Macaca fascicularis: one gene and its partner. The protein of the gene in region 2 binds, or shares a complex with, the protein of the main gene of each other region. Links are inferred from orthologs where the notes say so. Each region holds a gene or a part of one and is shown on either strand. Other genes may lie near its edges.

The links. Proteins that work in one complex are often made in the same cells at the same time.
Region 1: the proteins of CD40 (region 2) and CD40LG are in contact, whole or in part, in a crystal structure (PDB 3QD6), measured with the Homo sapiens proteins. The link is inferred for Macaca fascicularis from reciprocal best matches to the Homo sapiens genes CD40 and CD40LG. Residues at the interface, in NP_001241.1 of Homo sapiens: Glu64, Ser65, Glu66, His76, Cys77, Gln79, Tyr82, Asp84, Asn86, Leu87, Trp109, Cys119; in NP_000065.1 of Homo sapiens: Ile127, Glu129, Ala130, Lys143, Gly144, Tyr145, Tyr146, Cys178, Pro217, Cys218, Gln220, Ser245, Gln246, Ser248, His249, Gly250, Thr251, Gly252.

What each region holds. Positions count from the first base shown.
Region 1 is NC_088395.1:142,789,052-142,795,277, reverse strand, and holds the start of CD40LG (CD40 ligand), read right to left. Parts: upstream 3,396-6,226; 5' UTR 3,329-3,395; coding exon 3,173-3,328; intron 1,323-3,172; coding exon 1,191-1,322; intron 1-1,190. UniProt on the Homo sapiens protein: Cytokine that acts as a ligand to CD40/TNFRSF5. Costimulates T-cell proliferation and cytokine production.
Region 2 is NC_088384.1:102,171,881-102,177,346, forward strand, and holds part of CD40 (tumor necrosis factor receptor superfamily member 5), read left to right. Parts: intron 1-1,606; coding exon 1,607-1,685; intron 1,686-2,020; coding exon 2,021-2,146; intron 2,147-2,409; coding exon 2,410-2,556; intron 2,557-2,926; coding exon 2,927-3,020; intron 3,021-5,466.

The DNA.
Region 1 (6,226 bases), on a different chromosome or scaffold from region 2:
CAGTCTTGCAAAGAAAGGGTTTAGGAGTTTCATCTACAGCCTAGATTAGTGTAAAGAACCTGAAGGCGAGCAGTGGATTTGAGCTGCATTCTGATCTCCGTAGGTGACTCAGGAATAAGCTGTTAGAGTCTTCACTAATGAATTAAAATGACACCTCGGTAACAGTACAGGAGGGCAGGAATAAGATCAGAAATAAGATCTTAAACATTTCACACCTGCATTAAATTACACATAATCTATATGTGAGAACTAACTCCTGTTGGTTTACCCAGATACCCACCCATCTGGCCCAGAACTGTCGTCAATGTGAAGTGCTGCCTCCTAGAAATGACCCCTAAGTGAGCCGAGGCCCAAGGGTATTTGACTCAGTGTTCTGAGAGGGACATAGGCAGAAAGAACTCTTGATGTTCTGCCTCAGGAGAAAGAGCCTCTAGACCCCATGTCTGTGACGATGGAATTAATGTAAAGGTTGTAAAAATTCTTGTTTTAGGTATCTGTTATAAGCCACAGTCACTGCAGTGACTTCATGCTGGCTACCAGCCTGGTGGGCTAAAAGGCTTTGAACCCTCTGTGCCTCTGGTCATGACCAGTCATAGAGTGGGTGGGCTTCATGAGCAAGTGATATTATATAGAACCTGGTTTGAGCGGCACTGAGAATGTCTATTATTTACTCCCCGCACCTCTCTCCCCAGTAAAAGGGAAAGATCTTACTGTCAGGACATCTAAAATTCCATCATCAGAGAAGCACCACAGACTGTTACCAGTCTTCAGGAGTCCCTTCACTTGTGGCCTGCTGCCACGGCAGCTGTCGATGGCTATTGCTTCCCTAGGAAATGGGGATCAGACCATGGGTCCCCAGTGAGAGAGCATCAAGGTTTAGATGGGGAGACACAGAAATGCAAAAACCAAGCTTGGTGGACTTTATCATTTTGCCTAGTGGTAGCTGCATATGTAAGCTCACAAATATGTTTGACTGTGCCTCTAAGGGTGTGTTTTCCCCAGAGAGTGTCTTTTTTTTTTTTTTTTTTAACACACACACACACCCATGTATGAGTGTATATATGCATGTTTGTGTGTGCGTGTGTCTGTGTCTGTAACCAATCTTTAAACATTGGCATTGTCAGTTTCCCAATTTAGAAAATGTAGTAGAACATTTCAATGACACTTTTACCAGCAACTAAGCTCCTTACCTTCACGAAGCCTTCAAACTGGCTTTTAATCTCCTCACAGTTCAGTAAGGATAAGGATCTTTCTCCTGTGTTGCATCTCTGTATCGTTTTCATGAATACAAAATCTTCATGAAGATTCCTTTCATCTTCTATCTATTTTGAAATAACAAGGATATGATAAATGTCATTCAGAAGGAGAATACAGCTAATGATATCTGTCTCTACATTCATTTCCATGGCATCAACAAGAGGAGGACTTTCAGGCATAAATGGGGAATAATAAGTTATTATATTGGCTGATTGCTATTTTGTATTTGCAGTTTAAAAATCTATAAAAGCCAGCAATTAAGATGTCATGTTATCAGAAACTCCAGGTAGAAATCAGAGCTATTCTACTAAATGTTCATTACAAAATGCGTATTTTTTCAACATACTATAGCAGCAATATTCTGTAATTGTCACATTTCTCATTGCTTCAGTAATGATTGGTCATTATAAACATCAGCCTAGAAAATAGTTTTCTGCAGAGCTAATTTGCCCACTTCATTTTAGTGTTTGTGATGCAGTGCTTTATAAAAAGAAGTTAATTTGCAATGTGTCAGTTAATGAGTTCTAATTACATCTCTCTCCCTTTTAACTTTAGTATTTGTAGAAAACATTTGCATTTTTAAAGAAATCATCTTTTATCCTCAAAGTAACAAGATATTTTATTTTCCAATGTCTTAGAATAATTAAGTGTATAGAATTCACTTGCACTATCAACTAATTTTGCACCATTTTCTTGCTTTAAGAGTAGATTTTTTTAGATTCAAAACAAGATTCAGTTAGCTGGCAGCTTTTGCTGTCATTAAGAGCACATATAAATAATATGGTAAATATCAGTCCACCGAGGTCACTATTGAAGCTAGGTCTATGTCCAGACATTTGACTGACAGAGCACATCAGGCCAAACACAAATAACCAACCAGACCAGAAGCCCCCTCTTTTTTCAGCAGTGAAACCTAAAATTTGGATAACCCAGTGGATGACTTCAGCCCTCACTATCTCACTTTATCCTGATGGAAAAATCTCGTGACATTAATTCTAGGTCCAGATCCTAACAGAGGACACTCAAGTATCCCTGATAAAGTGCAATCATCCAGATGCTTTCTAGCCACAGTTCCTGCATCCAGAATTTTAGGAACAGCCAGAAAACTAATCAACTTTCTGCTTTACATCTATGATTGGTGTTTTGTCAACACCAGCCAATTATACTCCTCAGTGGAAGTGAAAAAATTCATGAAAACAAAATAAATCCTGATGGTTTTCTTTTCCTAAGAATGCAAAACAGCCTACTAAGTTACTCTGCTCTTTTGTTCCTGCAAGTCTAACCATTTAAAAATGTAAAACATCTCAGAGGGAAACTGAGCATCTTGCAACTACAATCAGTGTTTGCGAAGAATTACACAGAGAATGCTACTTTTACTAAAAGACTGCAAATTCTGGGACTTATCCATGTCTGTTAATCCGAAGCACTATGAAATTTTAGATCAAATTGACACTCTTCTTGCCTAGCTGGAAATTTAAAAGAAAAAAGTTGTCTCCATAAAATAATAGCTTACTTTTCAAGCAGAACTTTAGCAAATAATTATAGCTAGTGCGTACATAGTGCTTACTATGTATCAGACCCCCTTCTAAGCTCTTTACAAGGCTAAACTCACTTGATCTATGAAATGGACACCAATGCCATCCCCATTTCTCAGATATGGAAACTGAGGCACTTGCCCCAGGATAACAGAGATGGCATGGGCAGAGCCAAGATTTGAGCCCAGGCAGTCTGACTCCAGATCCCAAGATCCTAACCAGAGACAAGAATATGAGGCTTCATCGCTAGGCAACAAACATTATGCCACAAGACCATTCTTCTATTTGGTTTCTACCATCATCCATCATTTGGGTAGAACCAACCTATGAATTAGTAAGGACCCCAGATTTAGTTAATAAAGGCTTGTGGTTCATCTTACCTTGTCCAACCTTCTATGAAGATACACAGCAAAAAGTGCTGACCCAATCATCTGGGTGATAAGAAAAATAGTAAGTAAATACATAAAAATTTTCATTCTGACGGGCAGTCCAGTGGCCGCAGATCGGGGAGAAGGTTGGTTGTATGTTTCGATCATGCTGTGTTAAAGTTGAAATGGTATCTTCTGGCAGAGAAGGTGGCAGAGGCAGCATGAGAAGACTGTCAAAGTGGCCACCTTACTCAGGATTAGTTAAGAGCGCACAATCGTTGCAGCCCACACTTCCTGGAAAATGTGCTTCGTAGTCTTCTCTCCCAGCAAAAATGTTACGTAAAGGTTTTTTTTTTTTTTTTTTTTTTTAAATTATACCCATATCATTCACTTCCAGCCTTTCCTTTTTGTTAGTAAAGAAGAAACAAGTTTCTTCTTCCATATATTCATTCTTGCCTTGAAATGTCATAGACTTCTTAACAGACAATGGCAGTATTTTCCTATCACTGTCTAACTTTTTGGGTTCACCAGTTTCAAGGAAAGTGACAAATTCATCCACCAGCAATAGACTTATTTCAATTTCAATCTTACTAATATCAAGCGGGAACCTGGTATATGGGGAAAGAAACACATGTCAACAAAAGTTTGGATTGATTTTATGACTGGTGTCCCATCAACTAATTGCTTCTCAAAACTTTACTTCTTTAATCGCTAAACTCAATGAAAGCCTGGCAGGTTTTCAGGTCAAGTCTACATGGCATAAGGCAAAAAAAGGATGCTGATGGTTATTAAATAAAATGTAGCTGGAAAGATAATGCAAGAAAAATAAATTTCTTAAAGGCAAAGACAAGTAGGATCTTGAGGGAAATCAGGCCAAGACTCTGGAATTGAAGTTAAAGTAAAAATCGTGGCTTGATGTAGCTAAGTTGCCTGTGTACACCGTTCCAATCTATTAGATAACTTTTGATGCTGATGTAATGGTTCAGAATCGGGAAAATAGGCTGCAGTTAAGAGATCTGAATTCTAGTCTTTGCTCTACCAATAAATTGCTATGAGCCTTGGGCAAATCTCTTCATCTCTTTAGACCTCAGTTTCCTCATACCCAAAGGAGGCACTTGCACCTGTCTTGCTTATCCCATAGGTTGCTGTGAAGATCTAATAAAGAAGTGCATGGAAGAAATTTGAAACACGTTAAGCAATAAACAATTCTCATCCTGAATTTTTTGGAATTTATTTAGCCTAAGACATGAGTTTTACAAATAATTGCCAACTCCTTACATGTTGGTAAAAACCAAATGAACAATAACGATATTAAAAACACCTTAAGTTTTGACAATGAATTGAATCACTGAAGTGTGTAGGATTACACATTTCTGAAGGACTTTTGCATCATCTTATCAGATTTCCTTCAAACTAAAAGCAGCTGTGGAAATCCCTACCTCACATCCAAACCTGGTCTAGAAACCATGATAAAATTACTTTGATGATTCCTATAAAATTGTTTTGAGAGACAAATAGGAAATGTAAAAACTGCTCCGATAGGCATGCTATCTATATAGTTAGCACCTGCTTTCTTCCCCTCCCACGCCCCAGCATCCTGTCCTGGGCCCAGATCTATGTAGCTTTTCACTACATCTGCCAAGTAGGTGGCTTCAATGCACGTGATGAACTTTGATCAGTCAAGTCAGAGACTTCGGTTCTTAGACAAGTAACCTTAGTTCCACTGAAGGAAAATTATCATGAGAGCCAAAATGGGCTCAAGGACTTCTGCACTGACAGTTTTATACAACTTGAGAGTGCCAGAGCTGCAGGGGCCCTGCAATCAGCTCAGCCAAGACCCGAGGGAGGGGATGCTGAAGGAACCACAAAGATGCAGACAATGTCAGGATTTGTTCACGTGACCAACTTGAAAAAACAGTTGTTGTCCAACCTCCTTGCCTCAATTTCTTGATCCCCAGTCTCCTACAGTCTGACTTCTGCCCACAATATTCCCCTGAAATTGATCCCACAATTATTAGCTCAATAATAGTTTTGGCTGAATACTTCTTAGGGTTTATTTTTAGTGACCTTTCTATTACTCTGTTGACCTATTATCCTGTTGTCATCTTCCTGAATGCTCTCCCCGCTTGAATTCTATATCACCCCATTCTTAAGGGCTTCTGCCTCTCAAAATCCTTCTTCATGTTATCCTCTTTTCTCTTCATACCCCTTAAAACTTTGGTGTTCCTTCTCACTATTTCCTTTCTTTTTCCCTTCTCCTCTCCTCCCCTCTCTTCTTCTTCTCCATGGTTTCATTGGGTGATTCGTGGGTTTCATGAACTTTCATGGGTTTCAATCTCACCTTCATTGTGATAAATCTCAAATCTATAACTGAAGTCCTGAACTTCAGAGTTGTAAGCACAGTTGCCTCTGAAAATCTCTACTTGGGTATCCCAAAGCCATCTCACATTTGGTATGCTCCAAACTTAATTTATCTCCCCACTCTAATTCCAATCCAGACCTGTTCTCCCTTAAGGTTCTCCATATCTCTGTGAATGGTCCCACTACTCACCTAATTGCCCAAGTCAGAGATCTGGGATCCACTCATGATTCTTCACTCTCTTGCCCCAGATTGCCCCACTTCTAGTGGCTTCTTCCTCCGAAACCTTTGGTTGCCACCACTTCTCTCCATGGCCCCTGCCGTCATCTCCAGGCCCATATATCCTCTCTTTTGTAGATTACTGAATTGTACCATCCTAACTTACCTTGTTTCTCTTTCTGTCCCACCCCATCCATCTTTCACACTGACAGCAACTGACTCCAGAATGCCCTGCTCGTACCTCAATTCTTGAAGCCTTCTCTTTCTCCCATCCTTCTGCCTGGTCCTCTACCAAAATGCCACAATTGGCTACCTTTCCAGCTTCCCAATTTAGGCTGTTATTTTGATTTCTGATTCTGTATCAGAAGTCCTTTGTCTCAGAACCTCTCATGCCTGTTTCTCCCCAACAGGGAGCGGGCTCCATTTTAACATCTTCAGCTGCCTAACACATCCAGAAATGATTATCAAATTTAGTTTCCAAGAAATGT
Region 2 (5,466 bases):
GCTGTTTAATGAGCACCTACTATGTTCCCGACACTGTGCCAGGCCATATACATGTATTCTTTCTTATCTTCACAGTCCAACCTGCAGGGCAGGCATTATTACTCCCATTTTAGAGACAGGGAAACTGAGGCTAAGAGAAGCAAAATAACAAAGTGTTACAAAGTCAAAGTCAGGACTGGAGTCTAAAGCTGTCTGACTCTCAAACTTGTGTTCTTTTCCCTGGCTGTTCCCAAAGTGTGGGACGATTTTAAGGAGCACATGGACATATAATTAAACATATACTCACTTTACAGTTCTTTTAAAAATCTTTCTCATTTTTTCAAAGAGGAAGTCTCTGGAGCTAGAATAGAGTTAATGCCTCTCAAAGCCTTGCTAATCCTCCTTTTAAAACAAAAATCAAGAGCAGGCCTGGGGTGGAGGGCCTTCAGCAAGCAAAGCAACCAGCTGGGGTTTGATAACCTTGTTTTGCTTCCTCATAATTTATTTTTAGGGTTACCTTTTATTTATGAGAAGTGATACTGGTTCTTGTCTCTTGGCGATGATGTAAGGTTTACATTTAAGGTAAATGTACTGGCCAGGCATGGTAGCTCACGCCTGTAATCCCAGCATTTTGGGAGGCCAAGGCAGTCAGATCACTTGAGGTCAGGAGTTTGAGATTAGCCTGGTCAACCTGGTGAAACCGCATCACTACTAAAAATACACAAATTAGCCAGGCATAGTGGTGCACACCTGTAATCCCGCTACTCAGGAGGCTTAGACGGGAGAATTGCTTGAATCCGGGAGGTAGAGGTTGCAGTGCGCTGAGATGGTGCCATTGCACTCCAGCCTGGGTGATGGAGCGAGACCCTGTCTGAAAAAATAAAAGAAAATAAAAGTATTGAAATTAACAAGAAGTAATTAATAGCATGGGTGGTACCTGGATGTAGTAAAATGGTGAAGATGAAACACAAATTGATGGAGAGAGGGAGCATTGAGACTTGAGTTCTCATTTGGACTCTGTCACTGTGAAACTCTGGGCAAGTGACCCTCCTCTTTGGTGCTCAGTCTCAACTATCTGTAAAATGAAAGAGTGTGAGTTTACCCTTCCAGCTTTACATTCTAGCATTTTATGAGGGAAGGGCTGGATGAGCAGATGATGAGGAGTTGAAGGAAGAAAACATGATGGGTCTTGGAAAGGAGCAGGAAGGGAAGCAGAAGAATAGGAGGAAGAGGCCAAGTGCTAAACATAGCCCCAAACAGCACTAGGGCCAGCTGAAGTCACCTAGCTTCAGGACTCCAGGGGAGCTGCTGGAGTCCCCATATCCAATGGGATCTTTGGGAAGAGGAGTGACTCAGGCATCAAGCCCAAAGGAATTCTGTTCAGTTCAGAGAATGTGTGAGTTTCCAGTACCACTGCTTTGTAAAATATCAAAATGATTCTCTGGGTGCGATTATAATCAGGCAATTTACTTGAAAACAAACATTCCAAATATCATGCAGATTCCACTTTCTGTTTTGACTTGCACTTCAGTTTGCAGCCTCTGTCCTGGATGACTTTTACCTTTCTGCTGAAGAGGCTACAGCGGAGATTTCAAGATCCCTTCAAATTGCACCATTCTGTTTTTAGGTCTATCCAGAACCACCCACTGCATGCAGAGAAAAACAGTACCTAATAAACAGTCAGTGCTGTTCTTTGTGCCAGCCAGGTGAGATGCCAACCCTCTAGCCCCATCATGGAGCCCCCCTTTGCTTTGGTGGCAGACGCAGACCCCATGTGTTAACTGTAAACTCAAATCTGAAACAACCCACTTCCCAGTCCTGCTTCACTGTCAGAATGTTCTGGGTTCCCTCTCTACCAGGTAAACCTCTGTCTACCCTGAACTAGGGATCCCAGCTCCTCCATCTTCCTTGCCTGACTATGAAGGGTCCAAGACTTTCATCTTTGAATCCCCTACCCTAAAGCCTGGCCTGATCATTGTGTGGTTAGTGTCTGACTCATGGAGTTGGCCAGAGCCCTCCCTCATTTCCTGATGTTTTCCAGGACAGAAACTGGTGAGTGACTGCACAGAGTTCACCGAAACAGAATGCCTTCCTTGCGGTGAAAGCGAATTCCTAGACACCTGGAATAGAGAGACACGCTGCCACCAGCACAAATACTGCGACCCCAGTGCGTGGGCTGTTGGGAAAGGGACGCTTGGGAGCCGGGTTGATATTGCAGCTGATATTCCCAACAATGCAGCCATTCTAATTTTATGTAGCCAGGGTTTGTTCTGATTGGTTGGAGTCCGGCTTGTACTGGTCATTAAATGATTTGATTGCCATCTCTACTTGGAAGAGGGTCTGAGGAAGAAAGAGCAGGCAATGTGGGGAGTGAGGCTCAGACTATGGTCCAGTGGGGTGTTCCCATCCTTCCTGCCCTTCTCTTCTCAGACCTAGGGCTTCAGGTCCAGCAGAAGGGCACCTCAGAAACAGACACCATCTGCACCTGTGAAGAAGGCCTGCACTGTACGAGTGAGTCCTGTGAGAGCTGTGTCCCGCACCGCTCATGCTTGCCTGGCTTTGGGGTCAAGCAGATTGGTAAGTGGCTCATCTGGGAATCAGTTTTGGAGGTGGGACAGAGGAGCTTAGGGCCCAGGGTGAGGGGCTGGGCAGTGGGCACTTAGCTCCAGAGGCAGAGGAAGCGGAGGCTCCAACCTATGTCGGCATCCCCACTGGAGTGAGCTGCAGATGGGACCTTGTTCATTCTTCCTCCTGCCATGGGCATCTGCCTTTGAAGGGCAATGGGAGAAATCCTCCTGGGGATTGCAGCTGTTGGGGGCAGCACCACATCAGGGGAAGAGTGTTCAAGGCAGGAGCTCTTCCCGTCCTGCCTGGCCACTGGCTCCCTTGTGAGCTTGACAGGTGGTCCACTGTGATGGTTAATGTCCCCCTCCCCACCCACTCCCAGCTACAGGGGTTTCTGATACCATCTGTGAGCCCTGCCCGGTCGGCTTCTTCTCCAATGTGTCATCTGCTTTTGAAAAGTGTCGCCCTTGGACAAGGTATAAGCACTCATCGCTTGTGTTTCCTGCTCTAAGAGTGGCATGGAGCTGCCTCCATTCTCCAGCCACCTGTCCTGTCCCCGCTCCCAGAGGTCCACACGTACTCATGCACTTGTGAAGCATCTGCAGAGTGGCCTCATGGCCAACCATATGGGCACGTTTCCACATTTTTCTTGCCTGCTCTCTCTTTGAGGTAATAGACACTGTTGACCTCTCGCTTCATGAGAGCCTCCTATTCTGGGAGTATTGGGACACTTATCTTAGCTTTCCTTCTGCCCCTCCTGCTTCTCCTCAGTTTTCCTCCTCTTGCTTTCACCTTACCTGGCTTTCTAGGGCTTTCTGGGCTCTAGCTGCTCACCCTGAGGGCCTCCCTCTCTTATATCCAGCTCCAAACCCACACCTGGTCCTGCCCTCTGACTGTCTACATGTTTTGGGAACATACTCACTGTCTCCACTGTTGTCACTTTAGTTTGGGCTTCATCACTGTGGTCTGGGTGATGCCTTTTCTGCCTCCTGGCCTCCCTGCTTCTGCTCTCTGCCCTCCAGCTGGTTCTCTCTTCATCCTATTGCCAACATGAACGTGCGACAGTTTCTTTCAGGTCATAACACTCTCCTATTTGAGATGCTTCCTATCTTTCTGTTGGAACCAAGACTCCTTAGCATGGCATCAGACCTTCCTGCTGCATTCCTGATCTCTTTCCTGCATCGCACAGCTTCATGCTACTTGCAATCCTCTGAACACACTGTTCATTCTCTTCCGTCAAACTCATCTGCCTGGAATACCTTAAACACGGGCGGCAAGCCAGGTGTGGTGGCTCACGCCTGTAATCCCAGCACTTTGGGAGGCCAAGGTGGGTGGATCACTTGAGGTCAGGAGTTCAAGACCAGCCAGCCCAACAAGGTGAAAACCCATCTCTACTAAAAATATGAAAAAATTAGCTGGGTGTGGTGGTGGGCGCCTGTAATCCCAGCTACTCGGCAGGCTGAGGCAGGAGAATCGCTTGAACCCGGGAGGTGGAGGTTGCAGTGAGCCGAGATAGCACCACTGCACTCCAGCCTAGGCAACAGAGCGACATTCTGTCTCAAAAAACAAACACCTGCCCCATTAACTTTTGGCATTTGATTTTTAAAAATGGGCAAGATAGGCACATGGGACAGAAGGCACAAAAGAGCCAGAGCAATGTCTTTCTCCCATCCCTGCCCCTTAGCTTCCCAGTTATCTCTGGAGGGAGCCATTGTTCCTTGCGTATCCTTCCAGAGATTCTACATATAAACAAACCAACACACAACACACACACACACACACACACACACACACACACACACACAATCTCCCTCCTTTTACTTTTGCACAAATAGGAGTATACCATATACATTTTATTTGTTAACTGTCTGCCTTTCCCTAATAGATTGAAAATTCCTTAAATGTAGAGACTTGGCCTTTTTTTTTCCTTCCGTTGATACATCCCCTATTCCTAGAACAGTACCTGATGCATAGTAGGTGCTCAAATTTTTACTGATAAATGTTGACTGATAACTGGGGGCCCCAGTGGTATAGTATTAATGGAACCAGTACACTGGCTTACAAATCTGATTACAGTTCAGTAAGTGTGTGACCCTCACGGAGCCTCAGTCTCCTCATCTGGGAAATGAGAATGACTTTCATTTCACAAGGCTTGAGCTAAAAACATGTAAAGTGTATTGTAAACTCCTGAATGCTCTACTCATGTAAGACTAAAGTAGGCTGGGCACGGTGGCTCACACCTGTAATCCCAGCACTTTGGGAGGCCAGGCGGGCGGATCATGAGGTCAAGAGATGGAGACCATCCTGGCTAATATGGTGAAACCCTGTCTCTACTAAAAGTACAAAAATTAGCTGGGCATGGTGGCGTGCGTCTGTAGTCCCAGCTACTCGGGAGGCAGACGCAGGAGAATCACTTGAACCTGGGAGGCTGCAGTTAGGCCCAGATCGCGCCACTGCATTCCAGCCAGTCGGGCAAAAGAGCGAGACTCCGTCTCAAAAAATAAATAAATAAAAATTAAAAAAAGGCTAAAGTATATGCTTTCTTCAAAGATTCTCTCTCTTTCTCCCACCTTAGATGATTTTTCCTTTGCAACGTCCTGTGTCCATTCTGCTCTACTCTTCCTGGGGCCACCTGGACCAGGTCTTCATCATCTCATATCTAGATGCTTGCTGTGCCTCCTGACTGGCCACTCTTCTGTAATTTCTCCTCCTCTGAGCTCTCAGGCAGCTGAATCCTCTCACTAGTGAAGTCGCCTGGTTGGATGCTGATGAGACTGACCAGCTGAATCCAGTCGAAAACTTCACACCTGCCAGTGATCTGGTTCTAAAGACACAATTTTCCATAGTTTCCTAACACCATCCTGCATGCCACCTGCCTGATTTCCCCACATCACATGGTCCCACTTAGCAGGACTGCACTGC